Mus musculus: one gene and its partners. The protein of the gene in region 3 interacts with the protein of the main gene of each other region in a biochemical or structural test. Links are inferred from orthologs where the notes say so. Each region holds a gene or a part of one and is shown on either strand. Other genes may lie near its edges. The genes, in order: Pak2, Arhgef7, Rac1, Arhgdia, Arhgap32, Iqgap1 and Hace1.

Region 1 (4,174 bases), on a different chromosome or scaffold from region 3:
TCTGTAACTAGCAGTGCTTGAGGAGAGAAAGGCCTGACCTAGTCTCAAGACTGGAACACAGTCCAATTTGAACCAAAGCCAGAAAACTGAAAGCACCGAGTACGGAACATTATTACTGTAATAACCAATACTGATGAAGATAGTAAGGATTCAGCCATAGCTACTAGTTTTATACTTGGCAATTATTTCAAGCTCCTGCATTTTGTAAAAGTATAACTCAGAGTTTATCTTTAGCTAACCAGAACAAGTTTTAAATTTCCTCATTTAAAACACGTAAAACTAGCCTTCATCATGTCTAGTTGGAAACTTGCCTATCATAAAAATCAAAGAAACACGAGAACCTTTTATCAGACATATATCAACTAAAAACTATCACTTCATGAATTTAGGTTTCAGGACACGGATCACAAAGCCCAGAAGAATTAATCTCTTTCTCTCAAAAGGTAAATCTGGAATCAAGGCCCCAAGATAAGTGAAATACCCAAGAATTCTCTTTTTAAAAACATGTCTGCTTGCCCAACACAATGGTAATCTCACTGGCTAGGATTCTGACGCAGATCTTAAGTCCAGAAGTTTGAAACAAACCTGGGTATCATAGAAAGAGGCTGTCTCCAAAGAAAAACAAACAAATACCTGCTTTTGGAAACAAATGAGATATTCTGCAGGCACAGGCTTGCAATCCCAGCTACTAGGGAGGTTGAGAAGAAAACCCCAGTTCAAGGCTTACCTGGTAGGGAAGAGATTCAATACCAGCCTGGGAAACAGTGAGACTGTCTGCACAGAGAAGAGAGGGCTGGGCTTGTAACTCAGTGCTGCAAAGAACACTTGCCTAGCATCACAGGGAGGTCTGCGGTTCAATCCGGTACAAGGGGTTAAAAAGGAGAAAGAAACAGCAGAAACTAACTTCAAGGTACTTTTTCATTCCCTGACATTCCTCCCTAGTGTCAAGACAACTCACTAACCTAAGAACAACCCACAGTACCAAAGGATGGCAGTACTTGATACTAATCCATTTCCCCCATAGCCTGGCAGAGGGAAAGGTAATAATGTACTAGTGAAAACAAGAAGAAAACATTTTTAATTTTGGGCAACCTCTTTTACCAAAACCCAAAAGTTACATTTTCTATCTATCTAAGCAACAATATAAAATTCAGTTTCCCTGATGTAAATGTACAATAGTGTTCCTGGCTAATTAATCTCTAGAAAGACCTAAAAAGAGAGGCTACCAAATATGTTGGCTAACACGTGTAATCCCAGCACACAAGGCTGAGACAGGAAGAGTGTCACAACAGCCTGAGCTGGAATGAGGCCCTGTCTAGGAAAGGCAGAGGATGGGTATAAAAGTATACGAAAAAGGCTTCCTTCACACACACACACACACACCCCAACTGAAGAACTGGGGTAGAGACAAGCAAGAATGTTCTACAAATGCCACAGAGCTTCTGGCAAAGTTGACGTGCCCTAACCTGTTTTAAAAATTACTACTCACTGCCTTCATCCCAACCTAATTTTATTCATACTATTCTTTTGGATAGCTCTACCAAAAAAAAAAAAAAAAAAATCCCCAGAGCAAATTCTTGTGTATTTATTTCAATATCCTGCCTACTTTATAAGAGCGGAAGAGTCGAATACAGCAGGGGAAAAACGTGACGTGCACAACCTTCACCCAAAACACAGCTCAGCTCGTCGTTGTCTAATTTTGGGCCTAACCGGTTTGGTTGTCTTTTTTTAAAAGGTTAGAAACGAAAAGCTGGAAAATCTACAGGTCACTTGTAAAGAAGAACCTGGCGGCTATCGATGGGAGTTGGTGATTTGTCAAAGAGGAAACAAATCTCACTTCCACTCTACCTAGTTCTATTAAGACAGGGGATGGAGAGAGCCTCCTTCCCATCAAGCCACAATGGCAATTATTTAACACACTTCTGTCTTGGACGACTTGATCTAGAACTAATCAAAAGGCTGAGTCCATTAAGTTATTTGCAGCAACTTTTTTTTTTTCTTGTGAGGGCGCGCGTGTTTCAGACAGCCAAACATGGTGAAAAGCCAACCTCAGCCCAAGTTAACCTTAAGAAGCAAATATTCACCTCCTGGCTAAAGATCAAGCAAAAACCGTAAGATCCTTAACTTCTGTTCTTAAACGCAGGCTCCCAGAGCCCGGCAAAAACTTTTTCCTAATGTGGAGGAGGAGGAAGAGTTTACACACTGAACTTAAGGAGCTCGCGACAGGATTCCCGAGCGACGAGACTGCAGAGAACGCAGCTGGTAAAGGAGGGAACATCCAGGAACAAACCCGAGTCGTCCGGTGCAGCGCCGGCGGGAGAGAAGGGCAAGGACGGCCGGAGTGGCCAGGGTCCCCACAGCCCAGCAAGCTTCCTCTCGGCCGAAGCTTAGAGCCAGGGCGCAGACAATGAGCCACCGCCCGGAGCCGCGGGCCCGCCCGCAGGTGCTGGCGTCCCGGGCCGCTGGGCCCAGGCCGCGGAGGCGGGAGGAGGGCGGCGGCTCGGCCCGGCCCGGCCCGGCCCGGGCGAGCGGCAACCGCACTTACCAGAGAGGAAAGGTCTCCGCCCGACCCAGGGCGGGCTGCTTGGCCGACGCGGGCGAGCACTGCGCTGGGGCGCTGAGAGGGAGGAGGGCAGGGCGGAGGGGAGCGGCGCGGGGCGCGGCCGTCGCTACCGAGGCCGTGAGGCGCAGAACCCCTTGGGCCAGGGAGGGGAGGGCAGGAGCCTTCGGCAATGGCGACGGCCCGGGCCGGAGGGGAAGCGGAACAACCGCTGCCGCTGCGCGTGGCCACAACCCTGGGGGAGGGCGGCGGCGGGGGCGCGGGGCGGGGCCGTAAGACAGCCCCGCCCTGAAAGTGGCGTCATGACCCGAGGGGCGGGCTTTCACAGGGCGGCTGGGAACCGTAGTCTAGTCATCTGTTAGGGAGACTCAGGACAGTGGGCGTTACAGAGAAAACCTGTCCCTCATTTATCAGCATTCTGCATTGTCTGCAGTTACGGTTTACCTACTGACAAAGCTGACGGAGAACAGCTGATCCAAACATATTTGTGTGTAGAGGGTCTTTGTTTCTGAGAATGTATCCATTCACCAATTGGTGTTTTGTGGGGAGGGATGGCTTTTCGAGTCCTGGCTGTCCTGGAACTCACTCTGTAGTCCAGGCTGACTTTGAACTAGAGATCCTCCTGCTTCTGCCTCCTGAAGAGGTACTGCCCAGCTCACTTTGTTTTTTGGTTTGGTTTGGTTTGGTTTGGTTTTTTGGAGGCAGGGTTTCTCTGTATAGCCCTGGCTGTCCTGGAACTCACTTTGAAGACCAGGCTGGCCTCGATTAAAGGAATGCGACGCCACCGCTTTTTTTTTTCCTACAAATTTAACCAGATTAAGTTGAATCAGATTATGCTGCTAAATTAGGTCCTCCCTCTTTGCAAAACAAAGATTTTTTTATTTTTCTGTATTTTATCAATGGAGGAGTTAATTCATGTATTCTTATTCCACAACTATGTCAATATCTAATATCTACAAAAGACCATTTAGGTACCAGAAATGAACATGCTTCACCTAGTCTTTGTAAAGGTTAAAAACATGAAAACGGTGGTGGCGCACGCCTTTAATCCCAGAACTCGGGAGGCAGAGGCAGGCAGATTTCTGAGTTCGAGGCCAGACTGGTCTACAGAGTGAGTTCCAGGAAAGCCAGGGCTATACAGAGAAACCCTGTCTCAGAAAAAAAACAACCAAAAAAACGTATGAAAACATAAAAACCAAAACACTGATACCTGTTACAAGGTGGGGAAAAAGCTGAGGGATTACCGTGGACAGAGTGGACAGAGAAGGTGGCAGTTAAAACAGAAAAAGGAACTCGGAAGAACTGAGGGGAAAGGATTACAAGTAGGAAGAGGATTGCCACGGTCAGTGAGAGATGAAGGCTAGGCTCACAACCAAAACCACAAGACTTATGTAGCTGCACCTTGGTGTAAGATGGGTATATTAGAAAGTACTGTAGTAGTTGGGCGAGGTGGCATACTCCTTTAATCCTAGCACTTGGGAGGCAGAGGCAGGCGAATTTCTGAGTTCGAGGCCAGCCTGGTCTACAAAGTGAGTTTCAGGACCGCCAGGACTATATAGAGAGAAACCCTGTCTCGAAAAGAAAAAAAAAGTACTGTAGTACAAGATATGATGA
Region 2 (3,500 bases), on a different chromosome or scaffold from region 3:
TTAGGTGTGTGTTGGCTTTTGTTACTTTGAAGCAAATGATTTTTAGTGTACAAGAAATATTTTTATGTAGCTGAAGAGGTTTGTCAGGTAGATGAGAGCAACATTGACTTAACAGTTTGTCCTACTTTCTTGTAGCTTGAAGAATCCACCGGTCCTCAGGCCTCAGTAGCAGTTTCTAAGTTCTTTTTTCTGGGCCACGCGCAGACAGTTACCAAGTAATATTCAAAGATACTCCATACAAGGATGGAGAGGGCTCAGTGGTTATGAACAGTGGATGTTCTTCCCAAGGACCTGGGCTTGATTATCAGCACACACATGGCAGCTCACAACCATTTGTAACTCTAGTTCCAGGGGGTCCCACACCTTCTTGTGGTGTTTGGGCTCTGTTCACATGCAGGAAGACATCACACATATAAGCAATACAAAGAAATATATCCTGACCTTTTACTTTTTCTTTTCTTTCCCCTTTCTCCTTTCCCCCTTCCTCTCCCTCCTTCTCCCTTTCCCCTTTCCCCTTTCCTTTCCTTTCCTTTCCTTTCCTTTCCTTTCCTTTCCTTTCCTTTCCTTTCCTTTCCTTTCCTTTCTTCTTTTTTTCTCTCTCTTTTCCTTTTCCTTCTCTCTCTCTGTCATTCTTTCATTCTCTCATTCTCTCTCTTTCCACAGGATCTCTGTTACATAGCTCTTACTGTCTTAGAACTCAATATATAGACCACTGGCCTGGAATACACAGAGATCTGTTTGCCTCTGCCTCCCATGTTTTGGGATTAAAGGCTTGTGCCATCACACCTAGCTAAATAAACCCTTTTTTTTTTTTTTTTTTTTTTTGGTCTTACAAAGCGCTCACAAGCTCTATAGCTCTTTCTGGTTATAGTTCTCCGACCTGCTGAGGTTTAATGTGGGTTTGGTTAGATTCTGGTGGCATTTAATATTGCTCATCTAGTTTGGTAGAAATCTCAAGTAGAAATAAGGTCTGAGATTCCATGGGATCTGGTATAAAGATTTGTGCACACATTTATGAACAGATTCTTTTTACTATTAGGAGAAGAATGAGAGATACCTCCTGCTCTTCCCAAACCTTCTGCTCATGTTGTCTGCAAGTCCCAGGATGAGTGGTTTCATCTATCAGGTAAACACAGCTACACTGATTGTAGTTTTTGTTTGTAGTGGATGTGGCAATTGTTCTCCTTTGAATTGAATGTATTAATGTTGTACTCACCTGTGTGTGCCACGTGTGGTACCATGTCGTGACTCTGTGTAAGAACTCTGTGTGTTCACGTCTGTTGCATCTTTTGATGTGACTGGAGAGCAGTGAACAGCCCACATCCATCTCTCCCTGACCGCATTGTCCTCTGCAAAGCACATTGCTTCTCTGGGCTTTCATGTTCCATTCTGCCCAAGGTAGGTTCAGCTAGGTGCTGAGGGCTAAGGTCTTCAGTAAGGGGTAGAACATCCCAAAACTCTGGACTTGGAACCTGATCATTTAACCTTAGTAAACTGTTAGTAAACTTTCTTTTAGTGTCTTGGTTTGTCACCATTTCTTGGAGAACGTTTGAGAGTTAGTTGTAAGAGAGAGTGTGAGGGACTCTTTTCTGTTAGTCCCCACCAATGGTGGGGACATTAGGTAGGGTCTGGGAGATGCTATCAGTGATCCTGTCTCAAGGACTGGCTAGCCTCCACATACTATTTTAGTGGATGTTGTTGTTTCACTTTCAACCGGCTTTTCTCTGATGTGTGTGTTTTATGTTGTCCTGTGGAAAATAGATGTGGCTTGGTCTGTCCCTAGGAGGGCTAGTTACCACAGGTGTCCCAAGGGAGCCTTTACAGATAGATGGCCGAGCAAATATGCATGGGAAGAGTCAGAAACCTGAGGCTTCCATTGGTGAGACCTTCTGGGTGGCTAAGGTGCCCGGGTGGCAGCTCCCTGTTGAGAGATGCCTGTTTCTGGCTCCACTCCATACCCTAGAGCCCCAACCTAGGCTGGCACTTGTGCAGGGGCTGTCTGCTGTTGCTGCAGCGTGCTCCTAGAGATGCCATCTCTGTACCAGGGCCATCTTTGTTCCCAGGAGTATGCTGATTAGCCCTGTGGTGATCATCACCTCCAGTGCTTGGAGGCTAAGGCAGAAAAATCAAGATTTTTTAGGCTAGCTTGGGCTACATAGCAAGAGTCGTCTTAAAAACAGAACCTCCTTGGCTTTGGGGATGGCAGCTCTGGCAGTGGGACTGCGGCTCCATGGCTGAAGATAAGAGGCGGCTGCTGGGAAAGCGCAGCCAACACTCCTCTGTGGGGCTTCTTGTCCTCAGCCACTGAGGGGTTAGGCCTCTGTTGCGCTTTCAGCCTGGCCCTCAACTGTTTGGACTGGGTGACTTGTTTGTTTGGTTTGTTTTTTGCCTGGAGTAGGGCACAAGATAGGGAAACCGTCGTCGGTAGTTTTCCTTGTTTGCTTTGGACCTCTGTTTACACATCATAAGCAGTTTGACTCCCATGTCCAGGTCACAGTCCATCCCTGAGGATAGTGCAGGACAAGCAGGAACAGAGAAGGAGAATAAGAAGGAGTGCCCTGCTGCCTGCCTTCCCCTGCTCCCCCCCACCCGCCATGCCTTTCTAAGGTTTTGAAGCCTCTGCCCAGAGGTGGCATTTTGCATGGTGGGCTGGGCCTCCTGCTGTCAGTCACTAATCAAAAGTACCCGGGCAGGCTTGTCTGTGGGCCCCAGGAAGGCTGACAGTCCCTCTGTTGGGCTTTTCTCCTGCTGATAGCTTTAGTTGTATCAAGTGGACAAAACTCATCAGCACAACTCCTGTCTCCTGTCTGCTGGTGAAAACCCTGTTCTCTTTGTAAAGATGTGGCCTTTGGCAGCTGGCTGTCACAGTTTATATGGCCCAGGGAAAGCTGTTGCCTGCTGGCTTTTACTGTTTAAATGAGCTTTGTCCCCCTGTTTTTCTCAGCTGGCATTTCCTGCTTCATGGAGAATCCCTCCCATTTTACAGACAGACTGACTGCCACTTGGGCACCCTGTGGCATCCGTTTGACATCACGGCTTATTTCCTGTTTGAATTGTCTCTCTCTGTGTTTTTGTCTCCATTACTCATCAGCTGGCTCTTCAAACTCCTAACTCCTTTCTCTGTGAGGCAGTGAGTTCTCTGTCATATGCCGTTAAAGCAGCCACTGTGCACCCTGGCTCCGTCTTCTGTCTTCCACTCATAGAATCACCCATTGGGTCAAGATCCTGCTTTGGTTCAGTTTGGGTTCTTGATCTGGTTTGACTGTTCTTTAAGGTGTCCTTTAAGCTCTTTTGTACACTTAATTCTGCTGCCACGTGTGAAGTCATTTAATGTGTGTGGTCCCTTCTTTATTAGGAAAACATTGTTTTGGGGGGTCTTTTGTAGGGGAAGCTGCCAACAACAGGAATGACAATCACAAAGCTTGAGGACAGTGAAAACCATAGGAATGCATTTGAGATATCAGGTAATGTATCCACACTGTGCCAGTGCCATGTCCTTG
Region 3 (4,025 bases):
AGGACCGGGCACTCAAGAGCCTCTTCATACTCAGCATCTCATTTAGGCTTGTTTAACTTTCCCTTGAGGCATCTCTCTTGAGGAAGAAATGATATGCTGAGGATTACTCCGTAGGTTAAAAGGGTACTGAGGGCTGGAGATGGCTCAGCAGTTCAGAGCACTGGTCATTCTTCCAGAGGGCCTGGGTTCCACTCCTATCACAACCTAATGGTTCACCGATCTCAGTAACTCCAGTCTCAGGAGATCCTCTGCTGGCATCAACATACGGCACGGACATACACACAAAAACACCCATACACATTAAAAAATGTAGGGAGAAAAAGAAAGGTGTGGCAATCCAAATGAACCCTACAGGAGGCATTCTACACGTTTTTACTAGATTTTCTTTTTAAAGCCAGCAACAGGCTAAGACGTATCTCAGCTGTTCAGACGTGCCAGGAAACCTAAGGCCCTGAGGCCCAGCTGGGGGTGGGGGTTACAGAATGAGTGCTGGCATACCTGCTGCATGTGCATGTCAGGTCTTAGGAATTCCCAAGCACTAAGGTTTGGGTTTGGATCAGCAGCAATTTACCTTTTTAAAAAGTAATTGTCTTGAGATGTCTTTCAATGTACTTTTTCATAGTCATCCCTACTTCCTTCCAACTCCACCCCAGCCCTAAAAACTCACCTAGTCCAATCTGTGCTGCCCATCCATAGACTCAACAGTGTGAGGCCTCACACTGGGGCTAGTTTCCCTCAAGGACCACATCCATAGAGAACACTGACTGGCTCACCCCTAGAAGCATCAAGGGCCCATCTCGACTCAGCCTAGGCCCTCTCTGCCCTGGGCTAGGATCTTATACAGCTGCTGCTGAGTTCACAAGTGGAATCTAGAAAATACTGTTTCCGCTGGGTGTCCCTGACCTCTGACTCTTATAATCTCTCTTCCTCCCCTTGGTCCCTAAGCTCTGGGAGGAAAAGAGGATGGTGACAGAGCAATTTAACTTATTAAAACACTAGGAATGTGGTAGTATTCCCCAGCCCACAAACTGCTGGTGAAACATTTTTAACTTTTCAAGGAAAGTTCAGGTAAGTTTTAAACGTTCCCCAGCAAGGTGCTATGTTATAGTTCAACCGCAATACAAAAAGAGAGACAGACAGACAGACCCAGCCATCTTGCCTTCACTTAAAGCAGACCTGTGGCTCATACCTGTAAGCCCAACGCCTATGTCCATGTCCTCCTAACAGGAGAATCATGGAGTTGGGACCAAGGCAGTCAGAAACTAGGATTTACACAAAAAGACCCCGGCCCCACAATACAACATCTTCACTATCAAACTAAGTGCCCCAAGTGACAAAGCTTTCTTTTAGGAGGTGAAAGGAAAGCACCATTGACATTCCTACTCAATGAAATTCCAGTGTGTCGTTAAATACATTGAACCGTATCCATGAGACTTCCTGTCTCCGAGACAAATCCCACAGACAGACATGTTAGCAGAAAAATAAAGTTCTCTGACCGTCTGGCTGACTTAGTTACAGGGACGATCCCAAAGTCTAATGTAGAGTTCTGTAAATACGCTGAACAATCGCTCATAAATCCACGGGCTCATAAACCCATGGGCGGCGAGTGCTCACTGCAAGTGTGGAAGGCATTAAGCAAGTTTGGCAACGTACTCGACTGAACTAGAAAGTGGACCAGTTGCACTCTGCGTTTGAGGAAACGGGTGGTAAATCTCCAAGCTTCCTCGTTAACACGAACCTACACAAGCTACGCTGAGACGCGCGATTTTGCTCCGATTACACTGAGATTCTTGTTTCTACCGAAGGGGTGGGGGGAACGGGACGGACTGCATAAGACCAGTCTTGTCTCCCTCAAGGGCCTGAAACCATCACGGTCAATCACGAAAAGAATTGCCTCGAGTCACAGGGAGCTGGATCTGCTACATCCATATCTAATGCCTTCAGAGAAGGTTTGTTTGTTTTTAATAACCACACTTCGTTCAATGGACAGTCTTCATCACACTCCTTCAGCTAGCATCCCAGTAACTTTCTCGGCGTAAGTGTGAAAATGAATATTTTTATAAACACCCTGTCAAGTCGAAGCAACCGAGCCCTTTCCCAAGTTCCAGGTCACCCAAGTGACTGGTGCAAACATGCATCGACCAGGGCCGGCCGACTTGGAGGCCGTTACCTATCCCAGTTCTCGGGGGGGGGGGTGCGAGGGGGTACCCTGAGTAAATGAAGAAACTATACGTCCCTTTCTCAAAAGACAAAAATTTTTTTTAAAAATGTTTCAAGAAAAATTCTTCAAACCAGCCTCGCCTACGTGCCAAGTCGAGTAGGGCGACGGGCGGCGTCCGGCCCGGGAAGAAGGCAGGAGGGTGGAGTTCACTTTTCCCTCCGGCCGGCTCGCCCAGGCCCTCCCCCAACCAGAATCCGGAACCAGGCCCGGGAGGGTGGGAGGCTCGCGCCCCCCAGAAGGCCGGGCGCGCGCTCTACGCCAGCTCGAGGCTTTTCGGGCCTGCGGGGGCCCCCGATGGCGCTGCGCGCGGCACCGGGTCCGGAGCGCCAGGCGCGGCCGTGCACTCACCCGTCTCCCACCACCACACACTTGATGGCCTGCATCTGGGCCGCTCGGTGGGCCGCGGCGGCGGCGGCGGCGGCCGGTGGCTGAGGCGCGAAGCGGCGGGCTCGGGAAGCGCTGGGCGAGGCTGCGGGCGGCGGGGCGCCGAGTGCCGGGACTGCTGTCCACGCCGCCGGGCCCTCAGCGCACGGGAAGGCGAAGCGCAGCAGCAGCCACCACCCAAAGCTGGGGAAAACTGCAGAGAAACAGGAAATGGCCGCTCCACTCACATCCGGCCTCCCCTCCCCCTCGGTGCCGTCGACGCAGCTCCCAGGCTCCGGGCGGGGCCGCTCCCGCCCGCCCGCGCGCCCGCCCGCGCCGTTCCTGGCTTCCACGGGCTTTCGGGAAAGCTCGGCAACAGTCGGCTCCAGCCGGAGAACGGGCTCGGCGGCCGCGGGGCGGGGCGGCCGCCATCTTGGCACGCTAAAGCGTCCCGGTTGTGACCAGGTTTAGGAAGCCCTCTGAATCCTGGGGTTACGGGTTCGGGTCAGTGGTAGGGTCCCGTTCGCTCGCAACCTACTTGTGCCAACTCCATGGAGAGATTCCTGAGCCCCCTTGTTATGTGATAACTACAGTATGCTGTAGCGTAAGATCCTGCTAGAAAATTCTGTATAGCTCGTGCCACAGTGAGATCCAGTCTCAAAAAAGAAACTGCTAGGGATGTAGCCAAGTCAGAATGTTTGCCGGCATGTACAGCCTGGGGCTCCATCCCTAGCACATCACAGCCTGCCCTGGTGGCTCACCTGTAATCCCAGCACTTGGTGGGCGGAAGCAGTAGAATCCTGGGGATCAACCTCAAGTCCAACCTCTGGATATGCAACTCAATTGGTAGAGTGCTTCCCCGAGCAGATACAGATATGAAACCCTAGGATTGAACCTCACGACGGTATGAAACAGATGTGGTATATATCAGGTAGTGCATACCTGGAATCCCAGCTCTGGACTGGAGGTAGCAGAAACATCTGAAGTTTGACCTCTGGCTATGTAGCGTCCAGCGTTAACCTGACCTACCATGAGACTTTCTCAATAGGGGTGGGGGGTGGGGAGGGAGCACTAAATAAACAAAAATATAAGGAAAAAAAAACATACATACCATTAAAATAATAAACAGAAGGATAAAGGTCAGAAGAATTCTTTTAAAGATTGCTGATATGATAGGGTAAGCATATAATTCATTCACAAATAAGGTAGCCTATTAGAAGACAAGAACATTAAAGATATTTTTGGTTATCTGTGGTGTGTGTGTGTGTGCATGTTTTCATGTGTGGGCACATGTGTGGTGCACATGTGTATAGAAGACCAAGGTTGACACTGGGTGTATTCAGTTGCTGTTCACCTTATATATATTGAAGTAAGATCTCTCATTGAACACAAAACTGGCCAATTCCAGTTAATCTAGCCAACCAGCTTGCCCTGGAGATCC
Region 4 (4,106 bases), on a different chromosome or scaffold from region 3:
GGAGTGGTGGGACTAGAGGACAGATAGCCCAGCCCTTCCCCATGCTGCGACAGAGACAAGGTGGGCTGGACAACCCTGACAGTGTTCTGTTCCATTCTAGAAGCCAGGGCCTGAGGAAGGGAAGACAGAGGGAACCTGGAGGGACACAGCAGATTGGAGGCCTGGGCTGGAACCCCTCCCCCACTGCACAGGCAGAAGCAGCAATGTGACACTGGAGACCACAGGGGCCTGCGGGCAGGAGGTGGAGGAGGGGCAGACAGGAGAGCTGACTGCCTGAGTGGACTAGGGAGGAATGACGGGTGAGGGAGGTCCTGTCAGCACTTTGGTTTGGGGTAGGTAGGGGGTTAGGGTGGGGCATGTCGGTCCTTCTGTCTGTCCGTCGCCCTGCCCGTCTCCCAGCTGGAGCTCAGTCCTTCCACTCCTTTTTGATGGTGAGATTCCACTCCCAGGACAGGTGGTCAGTCTTGTCGTCATCTGTGAAGCGCGACTTGATGTTGTAACTGCCCCGAGCAAGCATGCCTTTGGGAGCCTCCTCCATGGGTGTCAGGAACTCATACTCCTCGGCCCTCGGCCCATAGCTCCCGACCATGTAGTCAGTCTTGTCAACTGAGGGACAGGAGAGGCAGGATTACTGGTGCTGCACGCCCCTCCCAGGCCCAATGGCTCCCCACTCTATGGCCCGCCCACTCACTTTTGACCCCTTTCCTGTATGTGTGTTGGATGTACTTCATGCCGGACACGATCTCTCTGTTCACCTGTGGGGACACAGAGCCAGGGTCAGCTGCCTTCCCAGGCTTGCCCCTCTGCCCCTTGTTTCCAGGCCTCTCAAAGCCCCCACCTTACCCGGAAAGAGATTTTTATCCGGTACTCCACACCTTCCTTCAAGACAAACGACTGTTTCTTGAAGCTCTCCAGATCACCTGTATTGAGGAGGAGTCTCCGCTGACTGCTTGCTTGAAGGGCTCTCCACCCTGCTACATTCACTCTCCCCAGCCCCTTCCCTGACACAAAGCAGAGCTTCGGCAAGCCCCTAGCTGCACTTCCCCTCTTCTCCACCAGAGGGCATCAGTGCAGAAAATTATTTTTAGGGGTAGAGGCAAGATGCCAGCTGGCCCCACCCAGGGATTCTAATACCCACTCACCTGTCAGGTCCAGTTCCAGAGGGCCTGGGGCAGTGCTGCATACCAAGGTCAGTCGAGTCACAATGACATTGGGGACGTTGGGGTCTGCAGAGTGAGAGTTAAGAGTCAGAGTCCCATCCCTTAAGATTTTTCTTTTTAAACTCACTCCTTGGAAGAGTGGTCTGGAAAGAGACTGGGCACAGGTTTAGATGACATCCTTCCTCCAAGCCACCTACCTGCAGAGACAGCTACTCGGCCCAGCAGGGCCTCCTTGTACTTTCGGAGGCTTTCATCGTCCTTGTCCAGTTCCTGGATCTCCTGGATGCTCTTCTGGGCTGGAGGCTTGTAGTTCACAGAGTGCTCATCTTCCTCATTCTCTGCAGCTATCTGCGCAAGCTGCTCAGCAGTGGGTTCCTGTTCTGCCATGCTTACCTCTAGCTTGGGACACCTGTGGGCGGGGCATGAGCAGGACTGTGACAGCCTGGAGGCATTCCACCCTAGGCAGACCCTGACACCTGCAGGACACCTGACTGGAACTTTGAGAGGATGCTGCCACTGCCCTACGCAGAGGCCCATTTGAGAGGACTAGAACCCCAAGCAACGAAATGGGACCACAGCCTGTTCCTCAGAGAAGCAAAACACCTTTCCTCCCCACTAAGAATAAGCCTCCAGACCGAACTGAACTGGCAGACGCAACACTAAATCCCTGGGGTCCTGTTGCTGTCCCTAGCTGCCCAGGCTCTCATCTTACTGGGTTGGGTCATGGAGGTAAGTTCTCCGACAGGGAGATGCTCTGTATGTTAGCCACGTGCAGGACAAGGGTCTGTTTGTTCGTCCCTTCCAATGGAATACTGTCCTAAGCTCAACTATGTGATGACCGCTTAAATCCCAAGAGCCCAAAGGGGATCCTAAATACGCAGGTCTGTCCTCTCTAGTGAGGGTCTGCGTATGCAACTTGGGAGCTAGTGCACCGCTTGCAAATAAATCTCAGGAGCCTGTTTCTGGGCCCTGACCCTAAACCTTTAGTGGCGGTGAGGAACCAACCAGGACGGAAGCGCCTAGATGCCTTTCAGTTCCGCAGATTCCCAAACGTCTCTCGGAAACCCACTGTGATGCCTACAGGCAATGCGCAGCGGTCCCGGGAAGAGCCCGGCCGTTGTCCCTCTGAGAGGTGTCCGCCAAGGAAACACATAAAGCGGCGGTCCGAAACCCGGAGGCTACAGACAACCCCACCCGACGCCAAGCGTGGCCGCCGGCGACAGCATCAGGGCGCGGCCCGCACTTCCGTAGAGCCCGCAATCCGAGCGGGGCGGGGCCGCGCGGCGGGAGCCCCGGGCCAGGCCCCGCGCCGGACCCCGCCCGCGAGGCCGAGGAAGGGGGTCCCCTGGTAGCAGGCGCGCAGGCCCGGGGGGCCGCGGCCCCTCCGGCAGGACCTGCGCTGCCGCCCTGGCCCGCCCCGCCCGCCCGCCCGGGTGACCGCGCCCCGCCCGCGAGCGCCGCAGTCGCCCGCGACGCCGCACAAAGCCAACCCACTCCCCTCCCGCACTGCACCGCGCTGCGCCACGCGCCCACTCACCGGAGGCTCGACCGCCGCTCTCGCGCTCCCTCCCGCACCAAATGACGAACGTCGTCCGCCGCCCGCCGCTCGGACGGTCACTTCCGGGGTCACAAGACTTCCGCTCTCGCGGGCGGGGTCGCCTTGCGCATGCGCCGCCAGGGGGCGCGGGTCGGCGCCGTCGCCATTTTGCTGCGGGCCTCGTGGGCGCGTCCCGCGTGGGCCGGCGCCCTCGCGCCTTCTGCCGAATGCCGGGTGCGAGGGTTTGTGGGACACGAGAGCCGGCTCTTCCAGAGCAGCGTCGCGCGGCCATTCTGTGGCTCCCAGGGTTCCCTGATTGCCGTGCCTGGCCCTTGTCCCATTGTCCTCAGAGTCAACAGAACCACAGTCCTCACCGACCGCAGTGCCCTGTAGCTGTGCTGCCTGGCGCATTGCTCTGGGGACTGCGTGCCCCCCGAGCCCCCGTATGTTAGAAGTTGTATGGTTTTGCTGTGAGGAGCGGTTTTCCTTGGAACGGGCTGCCTGCCTATCTTGAACCTCATCCCTGAGACGCGCCCGCCTCTGCCTCCAGGATGCTGAGATTGAAGGCGTGCACCATCACCGCCAGGCGTGTTTCACGACGCTGAGGATGGAGCCTCCTTAGTGGAGGGCCTGGCTGGGGGGGTTCCCGGTCGTGTGCTTGTGCCAGCCACTCCAGTTCCTCCTGAGGAGTCTCAGTTCCTGCTACTCCGTGAGGGCACTCCATGTTGGCTTCTTCTGAGTGTAGCCTCAGACTGAGGGGAGGCAGGAATTTAAGGGGCACTACGGGGACTTCTATAGCTTAATCCCACAAAAGCCATCGCTTCTGGCCTGCTCTGTTGGCCACACCTGCCCCTGTGGTATCCAGGAAACAGCTGTTGGCTCCGGAGAGTCATCAAACTTAAAAGATGAGGAATCCAATGGCCTCCACTCTCCATCTTCAGTTGTGGCCCAGTTATTTTACACAAGCACGCATACCCTCTGGCTATACATCAATCTGAAGCAAACCAAGTGTTCTTTCAAGCTCATTTATTTTTATCTCTAAGGAAGATGGATTTGCAATATCATTACCCTACATCCAGGTAGCTGCTCTTCTATGCAGAACTATTCTAAAACAAAAAGCCACGTGACTATCCCCACTCTTACTGTATGATGAATTTGGCTGGCCTTCCACCTACACACAGGTGTGCCCAACGAAGTGTGTCAAGCTGGCTTTTCAGGAGGCTCATGGTCCTCCAACTGGATGAGCCTGGTTTATTGAGCTCTGTGCCACCCACAATTCCCTGGTTTGACGCTCAAAGTACAAATCTTCCAAAGCTGCGTTTTTATGTTTATGCATATCAATATTTTGAAGTAGTCTCTGAACCACTTGTGTGCAGTACCCATAAAGGTCAGAAGAGGGCATTGCATCC
Region 5 (3,500 bases), on a different chromosome or scaffold from region 3:
ACATATTAATTGTATGAGGTTGGCTTTTCTCTTTGAGAAATGTAGACATAAGTTATGCTGAAATAGCTTATTCAGAAAGTAATGTCCTCTGAGAGTCTCCACCCAGCAGCCAATGGAAAGAGATGCAGAGACTCACACCCAAACATTCGATGGAGCTCAGGGTGTCTTATAGAAGAGTTGGGAGAGTTGAGGGACCTGAAAAGGACAGGGACTCCACAGGAAGACAAACAGAGTCAATTAGTCTGGATCTTTAAGGTGCCTGAATCACCATCCAAAGAGAGAGCCTGGGCTGGCTCTAGGCCCCCTGCACATATGTAGCAGAGGAGCAGCTTGGTCTTCATGGGGGTCCCCAACAACTGGAATAGGGTTGTCCCTGAGCCTGTTGCCTGCCTGCTTGTGGATCCTCCTCACCTAAATGGACTTCCTTGTTTGGCCTCAGTGGGAGAGGATGCACCTAGACCACAGGGACTTGATTTAAGGAGGAACTAGGGAAATGGGGGTGACACCCAGTAGGAGGCTTCCCCTTCTCTTTTGAGAAGGGGATGGTGGAATGGGGGGAGGACTTGCATGAGGGAGTACTGGGAGGAGGAAAGGGCTGATGTTGGGTTGTAAAGTGAATAAATAACTTTTTAAGAAAGAAATGGCAACAGGCAAGAACCAAAAAAAAAAAAAAGAAAAGAAAAGAAAAAAGAAAAAGAAAGTAATGAATGCTTAGTGACTTCTCTGACACTGGTTCTTGACCAGCAAGAGAATCACTGGTAACTGAGACATGCAAACCCTCCTGCCCCAGCCCAGTCCCACCTGGTCAGGAACTGGAGCGTCCAGTGCACCCTGATAAGTGCAGAAGTTGTCATGATCCCAGAGAAGCTGCAAGCAGGACTCATACAAACTTGCATGAGGCTTTTGTTTCACTACAGTTTTTGGTTGTCACTTGGTTTCAGGGACTTGAGCGCTATGACACGCACTGCAGTGTGTCCTGCCGGTGTCCCTCTGAGGTCTTACCCTCACTGCTTCTCTAAGGAAATGCTAGTAAAGGGTGTGACTCCCTTGCGAGGGCTGTAGGAAGACAGATATATGTGCAAGTTAGTTTGGATGTTCCTGCTGCTCTCCTGGCTGTGCCCATGAACATAAGGCTCTTGTTTCCTTAGGTAATGTAACACTAGCAAACCTCAGAATTTCCCTTTTTTCATTTTTGGGTATCCTTTACCTTCATTTTTTTTCTGTGACTAAAGAACCAGAAGTTGGCACATGTCTTTATCATTTCTAAGTTGGTCCTCAGCACCTTGCTTTCATATTTTAGCCCCTGTTTTACAAAGAACAAATGTCTTTAAGTAGAGATTCAAAAAGTAGACATTAGGATGTAGACAGGCTTGGGTTTCATGAAATCCTGATGCCCTCATACACTTTCACAGGATTAGGAAAGTAGTTGAACTTCTTAGGTCTTCATTTCATCAGCTTCTTGTGTGGTTATCTGGTTTTAAAGGACATCTAACTATACACAGGTAGCTGGCTCTTAGTCTGGATTCCTGCCATCCCTCTGTCCCCACTCTCTCCTCGCCTCAGCTGTCCTATACTGTCTTCTTTGTGGAGGCTTATTATCAATGTCTTCTTTGCACTTTTTTTCATCCTGAGGTGCACGTGGTCTTTGAAGCTATAGTTCTTGTTGCTCCCCACATTAGCTCCCATGCCTTGCAGAGCTGCATGGAAGGCTCCTATGTGGCTCCCATTGTGCCTCTCCAGGCTGTTACATTCTTTCTATTGTTTGTTCATTTCTTGTTCTGTAGGAAGGGATAGAGCCTTGGTTATCTTAGTACTGATAAACTACTTTTTGTTTCATAGAAAGAGGCCTCAGAATAAGATGAAAAAATCTCCCGTTGGCAGCTGGCGTTCCTTTTTCAATTTGGGGAAGTCCTCTTCTGTCTCCAAACGCAAGTTGCAGCGTAATGAAAGTGAGCCCTCAGAAATGAAAGCCATGGCTTTGAAAGGTAAGCACTGAGCTGCCCTGTTCTGGGTAGCAGACTGCCTGGTGGCTTCTGGCACCTACCACTGTGCTCACAGCCAACTTCTCTGGGTGTACCTTCCCGTTGCCATCATGACACACCTCACTGTAAAGCATGCATAGTTGTGTGGCCCAGCTTGGTTGTCTGCATGTGTGATTGCAGCTCGTAAGATAGTATCAGTTACGTAGAGAAGAACTCCGTTTCTTAAAAAAACTGTGTAGATGTTACACACACACACACACACACACACACACACACACACACACACACACACACACACCAGTAGTGCATTTGTGTCATTGCTTCTCTAGGGTAACATAGCTTGTATAGTGCTGGTAATAATTCTCCTGTGTTATGTACTTGTTTTGATCTTTAGTTTCACATATTTAAAATTGACAAGTCTGTGTTTGAGCATACTTTTCAAGTTTATAACTAGTTTCACCCATGTCATTCTCCTACGTGACTAGCCTATGGAGTACTGTGTTCCATCAGACAGATCTATGACTGTTAAGCAAATTACTCTTTAAAATTGATTTTAAAACTCGTGCTCTGATACGAACATGTTCTTAAACTAGAAAACCTAGTAGCATTTTTCTCTTAGGGACCATTAGAAGTAATGCTCAGGTCATTTACATCATACCGTTTACAACCAATTTATTACCTAATTGTTAGATATGTTGGCTCTGCAGAAAGAAAATTAAGGTAGTGCCCTGCCTTCAGAGTTTAACTAGAGAGCCTTCTATATGAGAAAACGACTCCCAGTATGCAGTTACAGCTGAGGGAGAATTTTATGCCTAGCATCTTTGGCTGGCATTGTCAGCTCTTATGGTGGTAGGATGATGGTCAAGAATGTTAACTGTATTTTAGAAAATTAATATTTTGCTGGGCAATGGTGGCCCACACCTTTAATTCCAGCACTTGGGAGGCAGAGGCAAGTGGATTTCTGAGTAGGCCAGCCTGGTCTACAAAGTGAGTTCCAGGACAGCCAGGGCTACACAGAGAAACCCTGTCTCAAACCCCCCTCTCCCCCCCAAAAAAACTTAATATTTTATGTGTATGGATGCCTTGTTTGCATTTTTTTTTTTACCTTTTTTTTCCGAGACAGGATTTCTCTGTGTAGCCCTGGCTGTCCTGGAACTCACTTTATAGACCAGGCTGGCCTACTCAGAAATCCGCCTGCCTCTGCCTCCCGACTGCTGGGATTAAAGGCTTGTGCCACCACGCCCGGCCCTTGTTTGCATTTGTGTGTGTACACTCCATGTGCCTGGTGCTCATGGAGGCCAGAGGAGAGCCATGGATTCCCTGGAACTGAAGTTATAGTGGCTGTGAGCTGCCTGCCATGTGGGGGCTGGGAATCAACCCCAGGTCCTCTGAAGAGCATCAGTGCTCTTAACCACTAAGCATGCTCTCCAGCACCAGGAAAGAGAACTTTCAACTTGGGAGTTGAAGAAGGTACAGTTCACCTGATCTTTAAGGCGACTGAGAGTCCTTTCTCAGGAG
Region 6 (2,624 bases), on a different chromosome or scaffold from region 3:
AGTGTGAACTGAGGCACCGCCACTGGACCAGGTCCTTGCTTCTAAGGAATAATGGAGGATCCTAGAAAGACAGCCGTGAGGTGCTGCCGTTTTTTGTTAACTCTTCTGGGCGGCGAGCGACCCATTACTTCCCATAGAACTTTTTGTTGAGAAGGAAGATCAGGAGGTTGACATTCACTTTAGCTCTATCAAATAATTTCATAACTGCAACTCCTTCATACTGTAGCTGCAGCAAGTCCTGTTTAAAAAACAAAACAAAACAATTTCACCATCGAATCCAGAACAAGAAAAGGAAGGACCCCACGATCCAGGAGAGGAGAGGCAGGACTTCTGTGCCAGGTGTGAAATGGTGCAGCAGGTCAGACACACTTCTCAGTGCAGAGCTTTACGGGGCACGACTGCCCTGGGGCCAGCTACCCTGGGTGCTGGAGCAACAGGGAGCCTACAACTTAGTCTTAGGTTATCATTTAGTTTATAGTAAAAGATTCTAAACACAAAGGGAAATTAGGAGTTATGTTCAGTTAAAATACATTTAAAGCTTATTTCAAAAGTTACAACGGTAGGGGCCGCTGGAGCAGTGAGCAGGGCATGGATGAGTGGGTGAAGCATCATCCTCAAGAGGCAAAGGGGAGGGTGGAGAGGGGAGAGGGGAGATGGGATGGGATTTGTTGAGGGGTAACTGGAAGGGGGATATGATTTGAAATGTAAAGGAATGATTAATCAAAAAGAAGTTATGATGGCATTTCCCCATTGTTTCAGATGTAGGTTAGAGGTTTTAATACACATAGAAAAAGTAAAGGCATTTCAATTTATGAAATATGCCAATGAGAATGAGAAATGAAAATGAGAATGACCTGTAATGTCTCAGTACCTACCAGTTGCTCTGCCCCCGCCCCGCCTCCACCCCTGGCACTTTTGCACAGGCTGACCGAATACTCCTGACCCCATGGTGGGATGACAGGTATGTGCTGCCTGGCTCAGTTTCTACAGTGCTGAGATCAAACCCAGGGGTTTGTGCCTGCCAAACAAGCATTCTACCAACAGAACTACATCTCCAGCTCTGCAGTCTACTGGAGTCCTTTGTTTTTAGGAGACTGAGCCCAGGGTCTCTTGTAAACTGAATATGACTCCAACTTCAACTCCGCATGAGAAAGGTTGTCTAACGTAAATGCAAGTACAACAGGAGGAGCAACCATCCAGCACCGAGCCTGTGTGTGGCCTCGGTTAGGCACCTTACACACTATTTTTTCAAGGCATTACAAAAACCTTATGAAGCATAATTATCTGAACTTTAGAGATGAGCTGCTGAGGCTCAAAGTGTTGGGTGGCAAGGCCATCAGGAAAGAGCTGGCTCTGGGGTGATCGGTATGATCGGCTGTTTTCTAATGTTCTCTGCAGTCCTGGCGGCTTACGACAGCACTGTCGTCACTACCACTAAACTGGTGAGTGGTGGTGAGGAAGGGCATGAAGGGACCGCAGTGTCCCAAGGATGGGGACCATGGTGTGTCCTCTCTGCCTAGCCTAACCCTAACCCCAGGCACCTATGAGGCAGACCAGTTCCTGAATCCGAGCAGCAGTGTACAGTCTCCTTAGCAGACTGGTTGGCCTGCACTGGCAGTGAAACCAATGGAATAGGGACTGTATGCAGTATGCTTAGTTACAGTGTGTGAAGAAATCCTTTCACAGTTACTGAATTAATATGCGCTGAGAGACTACTGGTTACCAACAGGGAGGTACAGATGACTAAGACATACTGTCTTAGGAGTTCCCAGTTTTGGGGGTGGCAGGGAAATGAGTCAGCTCGCACTGTCAACAGAGGATGTCTCAGGGCTGCTGAGTCAAGGGGAAGGGCCATCACTGCGGCTGTAGGGGGGCAGCGCGGGCCAGTGCTCACTGTTTGATGGAGGCAGGAGGCAGGTAGGGAGCAGAGGGAGGGAGGCTGATTCCAGGAGGGGAGAGCATCCTGTGCAGAAGGCGGAACGCTTGCTCACAGAGAGGCACCAGCCTGGTTTGCTAGACCACGGCAGTGGCAAGCAAGGCAGGGTGTGGCAAGACATGGAAGAGCAGTTTGGCAGTAGAGCATGTGTGAGGCTCAAAGTTTGATTCTCAGCACTGCAAAAGAAATGAGCCAACCAGGCTGAAGAGGTCACTCACTGGTTAGGAGCACTGACTGCTCTTCTAGAGGTTCTGAGTTCAATTCCCAGCAACCACATGGTGGCTCACAACCTTCTGTAATAGGATCTGATGCCCTCTTCTGGTGTGTGTCTGAAGACAGCTACATACATAAATACATAAATCTTTAAAAAAAAAAAAAAGAAAAGAAAAAGAAACCAACCAACAAAAACCGTAAGAGGTCTACTATGTGGTACACACATAGTTGGGTCTGGACACCGCTCATGAATCCTTTCAATTGTCTGATTATTTCTGGCTTTGGATTTTGAAGATTGCTTTCACTATACAGGCTGGCCAGGAATTACAATGAAGTCCAGGCTGGCCTCAAACTCTGAATCTTCTTGCCTCTGTCTCCTGAGAGCTGGATTACTGGTGCGTGTCACCATCCTTATTTGGTACATTTTTTAATGTGCAAAAATAGATATTTAGGCAGCTCGGCATGGTGGCACATA
Region 7 (3,500 bases), on a different chromosome or scaffold from region 3:
CATGAGAGATACTGCCTGCCTCTCATGGAAAAATAAGGCAGAACAAGCAAAACCAGGATTGAGTCAATGACTCAAGAGACACAGGAAGGATCTCGTTGAAGATCTCCCCTGTGTCACTGCGGGCCTGTCTGTAGGTGTCTGTAAATATGAGTGAGTAAATGCCCCTCCACAGAGCTTTGCACTTACTTCACACATTCCCTGGCCACTCACTCTCTCACTTAGCAAGGTATTCTAGAAAGCATGTCACACAGCAACTGCAGTATGTAACCTGCTTCTCAGACCACACCCACTTCTGTGGAGAACTTTTACATACACCTGCACCTATACACGTGTCCCCAGAGGATAAGTTTCTAAGACAACTGTCACACTAAAGTATGTAGTTACACTAAGTGTCAATAAATACTGCTAAAATGCCCCTACCCATAAAGGTCAAGAAACAACTGAGAAAAATAACCCATTGCCAATACCTGGCTTCCATGTGCATCCACACTGGAGACACGCCTACTCACATACATGCAGATATCACATACATACAAATAAAAAAATTTTGAATAACTTTTTTTTAATTAGGTATTTTCCTCATTTACATTTCCAATGCTATCCCAAAAGTCCCCCATACCCTCCCCCCTACTCCCCTATCCACCCACTCCCACTTTTTGGCTCTAGCGTTCCCCTGTACTGGGGCATATAAAGTTTGCAAGTCCAATGGGCCTCTCTTTCCAGTGATGGCCGGCTAGGCTATCTTTTGATACATATGCAGCTAGAGACAAGAGCTCCGGGGTACTGGTTAGTTCATAATGTTGTTCCACCTATAGGGTTGCAGATCCCTTTAGCTCCTTGGGTAATTTCTCTAGCTCCTCCATTGGGGGGGCCCGTGATCCATCCAATAGCTGACTGTGAGCATCCACTTCTGTGTTTGCTAGGCCCCGGCCTAGTCTCACAAGAGACAGCTATATCTGGGTCCTTTCAGCAAACGCTTGCTAGTGTATACAATGGTGTCAGCGTTTGGAGGCTAATTATGGGATGGATCCCTGGATATGGCAGTCTCTAGATGGTCCATCCTTTCGTCTCAGCTCCAAAATTTGTCTCTGTAACTCCTTTCATGGGTGTTTTGTTCCCAATTCTAAGAAGGGGCAAAGTGTCCACACTTTGGTCTTCATTCTTCTTGAGTTTCATGTGTTTTGCAAATGGTAACTTATATCTTGGGTATCCTAAGTTTCTGGTGAATATCTAACTTTTAAACTATACAATACTGAGTAACTAAGTGATGATAACACCATCACTTAGTATACATTTCCAATCAACTTTTTCAAAATGCAAATGCTTAACTAATACAATCAGCTAAACAGTAGTCTAAATTATGTAAATAACCAACACATCATAGTACTAAACTAAAATGATTCTTTCTAACTCAAGTCTTAAATATGCTAGTTTGCTTAACTTAAGTACTTTCATCTACTTGCAAATGACAAAGTAAGTTTTTCTAGCAAATGCTGGAATAATTTAGAGAAACTGGCATCAGGGCCATTATGAAGAATGACTAAGGCAAAAATCTGGATACTTACTTTGTTATTTTGTGTCACAAGAATACTTCCACCCCCAGGCTTTAAAGGCACCTCTTCCATAGCTCCAAATACATCAGTCTCAACAGAAAAAGTCAATTCTAGACCCAAGTCACTAATATCATTATCTAAAATCCATTGCAAATTTTTGGCATATTCAGGATCAATAGATGCTACATCTTGGTAATTTACAGGAATACCTAAAAAGAAAATTGAAAAGACAGCAGTTACAATATAGGCACTTCTGACTTCCCTTTACTGATTTAATGGTGAAATGCTGCCCTCTACAGATACTCTGAAAAACCACAAAATATAATCAAATTTGCAGCATGTTTAAAATGGATGCTAATTTCTAAATTTAGAAGTCCATTAAATTAAGCTGCTGTTCCTTCTTCATCTTTACAATGCTGTCTTTCTTTGAAACAGCTATTTAGGAAGCTGTTATAAGCTTCAGAATTGCCAATTACTTTAGGTATATGCATAAAAAAATGGATGCTTTGTATAAACACATACACACTAAAATGGAAATGCAAAAAAAAAAAAGTGATTTTAAAAAAAGGTAGAGCATTTTTCTCTCCCTCTAGCCCCCAGATACTTTAGGAACACAGATGGTCTCTTATCAGAGCAGTAATTATTTCAACAGAAATGGCAAAACTGGCACTTATCCAATCCATTCTCTCTAAAAGCTGCAAGGAAAGCAATGTAAATGTCTTCAGAAGTGAGGGTACATCCATACCGAGAATGTGCTTGTAGAATGATCGTGTGAAGTAAATATTGACCAGCTGCCTGTGGTTCAAAGCTAACCCCAAGATCTGTCCAGCAAACCGGAAATAGTTCAAGTGATCAGGATTGACATAGGAGTTGCTGTTGGGCTGGAAAGTTGTTCCTATTGAAATAAATAGAGGACAGTAAGATCTATATGCAGAAAAGAACATTCCAATGCAGGTAACTTTATTCACATGTAACTCACTCAGCATGGCTATGGTTACATTATGCAGACTACAGCATGCAGTTCTTTGCATAATCTACAGAAAGACAGTAGAATTGGAAGTATAAAAGATGATCATCAGTTCACACTTGAGAGGAAGTCATAAAATACTTCTGACTGACACCAAAGAGTCCCTGGTAAACACAATAAAAGATCATACACATATGCAAACATTTTTCTAGGAACTGTGGCAGTAACTACTCAGCTATAAATCTGACAGACACTGCTTCATTCATCTGTACATGCCCAGTACTCACTAGATGTTGCATATTAAGATACACAAACTATGAAAAGAACCATTCTTAAGTAATTTGATTACTGAATGTGATGCCTATTAATACCAATTAATGACTGGGAACTCTGCCCACCTAACTCATCCTACTCTCAAAAGGCAAATAATCAAGTTTAAACAACTACCAATGATGTGAAAGTGACAACAGCAACCATATGATCACTCAAACCTATGTAGTAGCGTGATACAGTCCATCTTTATGAACTATATGGAATAGACAAATTTAGAATAGAGGCGCAATAAATTAGTGGTAGAGGAAGCTGAATCTAAGGTACAGAGTTTCTCCTCAGGCTGGTGGGACAGCCCCAGAATTAGACTTGGTGATGACTGCAGAGCATAGCAAAAGGACTTAATGCTAACAAACGATCTACTTTCAAATGTCTTCAGTGGTGAATTTTATATTTTACCAAAGAAGAAGAGGAGGAGGAGGAGAAAGACAAAATGACACACTAACTTCCAAAAGACCTAGCAAAATAGTGAAATCTAAAGCCACACCTTGACTTTAACTCCCCTTCAATACTTTTTCTGGCCATTGACGTGAATTACAAATTCATTTGTTCATAGAGCAGAATATACATTGAGTTTGTGCTTTACACTACTATTTGAAAAACAAGGCTTAAACAAAGACAAACTGATAAAATTAATGAAACAGCACCAA

Evidence for each region.
Region 1: the proteins of Rac1 (region 3) and Pak2 form a complex in vitro, tested with the Homo sapiens proteins (2 studies listed by BioGRID and IntAct). The link is inferred for Mus musculus from reciprocal best matches to the Homo sapiens genes RAC1 and PAK2.
Region 2: the proteins of Rac1 (region 3) and Arhgef7 form a complex in vitro, tested with the Homo sapiens proteins (2 studies listed by IntAct). The link is inferred for Mus musculus from reciprocal best matches to the Homo sapiens genes RAC1 and ARHGEF7.
Region 4: the proteins of Rac1 (region 3) and Arhgdia are reported together in a solved structure, tested with the Homo sapiens proteins (2 studies listed by BioGRID and IntAct, with this or other methods). The link is inferred for Mus musculus from reciprocal best matches to the Homo sapiens genes RAC1 and ARHGDIA.
Region 5: of the proteins of Rac1 (region 3) and Arhgap32, one has a biochemical effect on the other in vitro, tested with the Homo sapiens proteins (3 studies listed by BioGRID). The link is inferred for Mus musculus from reciprocal best matches to the Homo sapiens genes RAC1 and ARHGAP32.
Region 6: the proteins of Rac1 (region 3) and Iqgap1 form a complex in vitro, tested with the Homo sapiens proteins (3 studies listed by BioGRID). The link is inferred for Mus musculus from reciprocal best matches to the Homo sapiens genes RAC1 and IQGAP1.
Region 7: of the proteins of Rac1 (region 3) and Hace1, one has a biochemical effect on the other in vitro, tested with the Homo sapiens proteins (5 studies listed by BioGRID and IntAct, with this or other methods). The link is inferred for Mus musculus from reciprocal best matches to the Homo sapiens genes RAC1 and HACE1.

Annotation. Positions count from the first base shown.
Region 1 is NC_000082.6:32,076,543-32,080,716, forward strand, and holds the start of Pak2 (serine/threonine-protein kinase PAK 2), read right to left. Parts: upstream 2,801-4,174; 5' UTR 2,546-2,800; intron 2,510-2,545; exon of another isoform or gene 2,291-2,509; intron 1-2,290. UniProt on the Homo sapiens protein: Serine/threonine protein kinase that plays a role in a variety of different signaling pathways including cytoskeleton regulation, cell motility, cell cycle progression, apoptosis or proliferation.
Region 2 is NC_000074.6:11,811,558-11,815,057, forward strand, and holds part of Arhgef7 (rho guanine nucleotide exchange factor 7), read left to right. Parts: intron 1-1,039; coding exon 1,040-1,126; intron 1,127-3,385; coding exon 3,386-3,464; intron 3,465-3,500. UniProt on the Homo sapiens protein: Acts as a RAC1 guanine nucleotide exchange factor (GEF) and can induce membrane ruffling. Functions in cell migration, attachment and cell spreading. Promotes targeting of RAC1 to focal adhesions. May function as a positive regulator of apoptosis.
Region 3 is NC_000071.6:143,525,194-143,529,218, forward strand, and holds the start of Rac1 (ras-related C3 botulinum toxin substrate 1), read right to left. Parts: upstream 2,801-4,025; 5' UTR 2,605-2,800; coding exon 2,570-2,604; intron 1-2,569. UniProt on the Homo sapiens protein: Plasma membrane-associated small GTPase which cycles between active GTP-bound and inactive GDP-bound states.
Region 4 is NC_000077.6:120,578,825-120,582,930, forward strand, and holds the start of Arhgdia (rho GDP-dissociation inhibitor 1), read right to left. Parts: upstream 2,801-4,106; 5' UTR 2,698-2,800; intron 2,424-2,697; exon of another isoform or gene 2,166-2,423; intron 1,570-2,165; 5' UTR 1,548-1,569; coding exon 1,358-1,547; intron 1,227-1,357; coding exon 1,143-1,226; intron 921-1,142; coding exon 844-920; intron 756-843; coding exon 692-755; intron 607-691; coding exon 407-606; 3' UTR 1-406. UniProt on the Homo sapiens protein: Controls Rho proteins homeostasis. Regulates the GDP/GTP exchange reaction of the Rho proteins by inhibiting the dissociation of GDP from them, and the subsequent binding of GTP to them.
Region 5 is NC_000075.6:32,248,803-32,252,302, forward strand, and holds part of Arhgap32 (rho GTPase-activating protein 32), read left to right. Parts: intron 1-1,839; coding exon 1,840-1,985; intron 1,986-3,500. UniProt on the Homo sapiens protein: GTPase-activating protein (GAP) promoting GTP hydrolysis on RHOA, CDC42 and RAC1 small GTPases. May be involved in the differentiation of neuronal cells during the formation of neurite extensions.
Region 6 is NC_000073.6:80,713,708-80,716,331, forward strand, and holds part of Iqgap1 (ras GTPase-activating-like protein IQGAP1), read right to left. Parts: intron 239-2,624; coding exon 125-238; 3' UTR 1-124. UniProt on the Homo sapiens protein: Plays a crucial role in regulating the dynamics and assembly of the actin cytoskeleton.
Region 7 is NC_000076.6:45,675,329-45,678,828, reverse strand, and holds part of Hace1 (E3 ubiquitin-protein ligase HACE1), read right to left. Parts: intron 2,449-3,500; coding exon 2,299-2,448; intron 1,763-2,298; coding exon 1,566-1,762; intron 1-1,565. UniProt on the Homo sapiens protein: E3 ubiquitin-protein ligase involved in Golgi membrane fusion and regulation of small GTPases. Acts as a regulator of Golgi membrane dynamics during the cell cycle: recruited to Golgi membrane by Rab proteins and regulates postmitotic Golgi membrane fusion.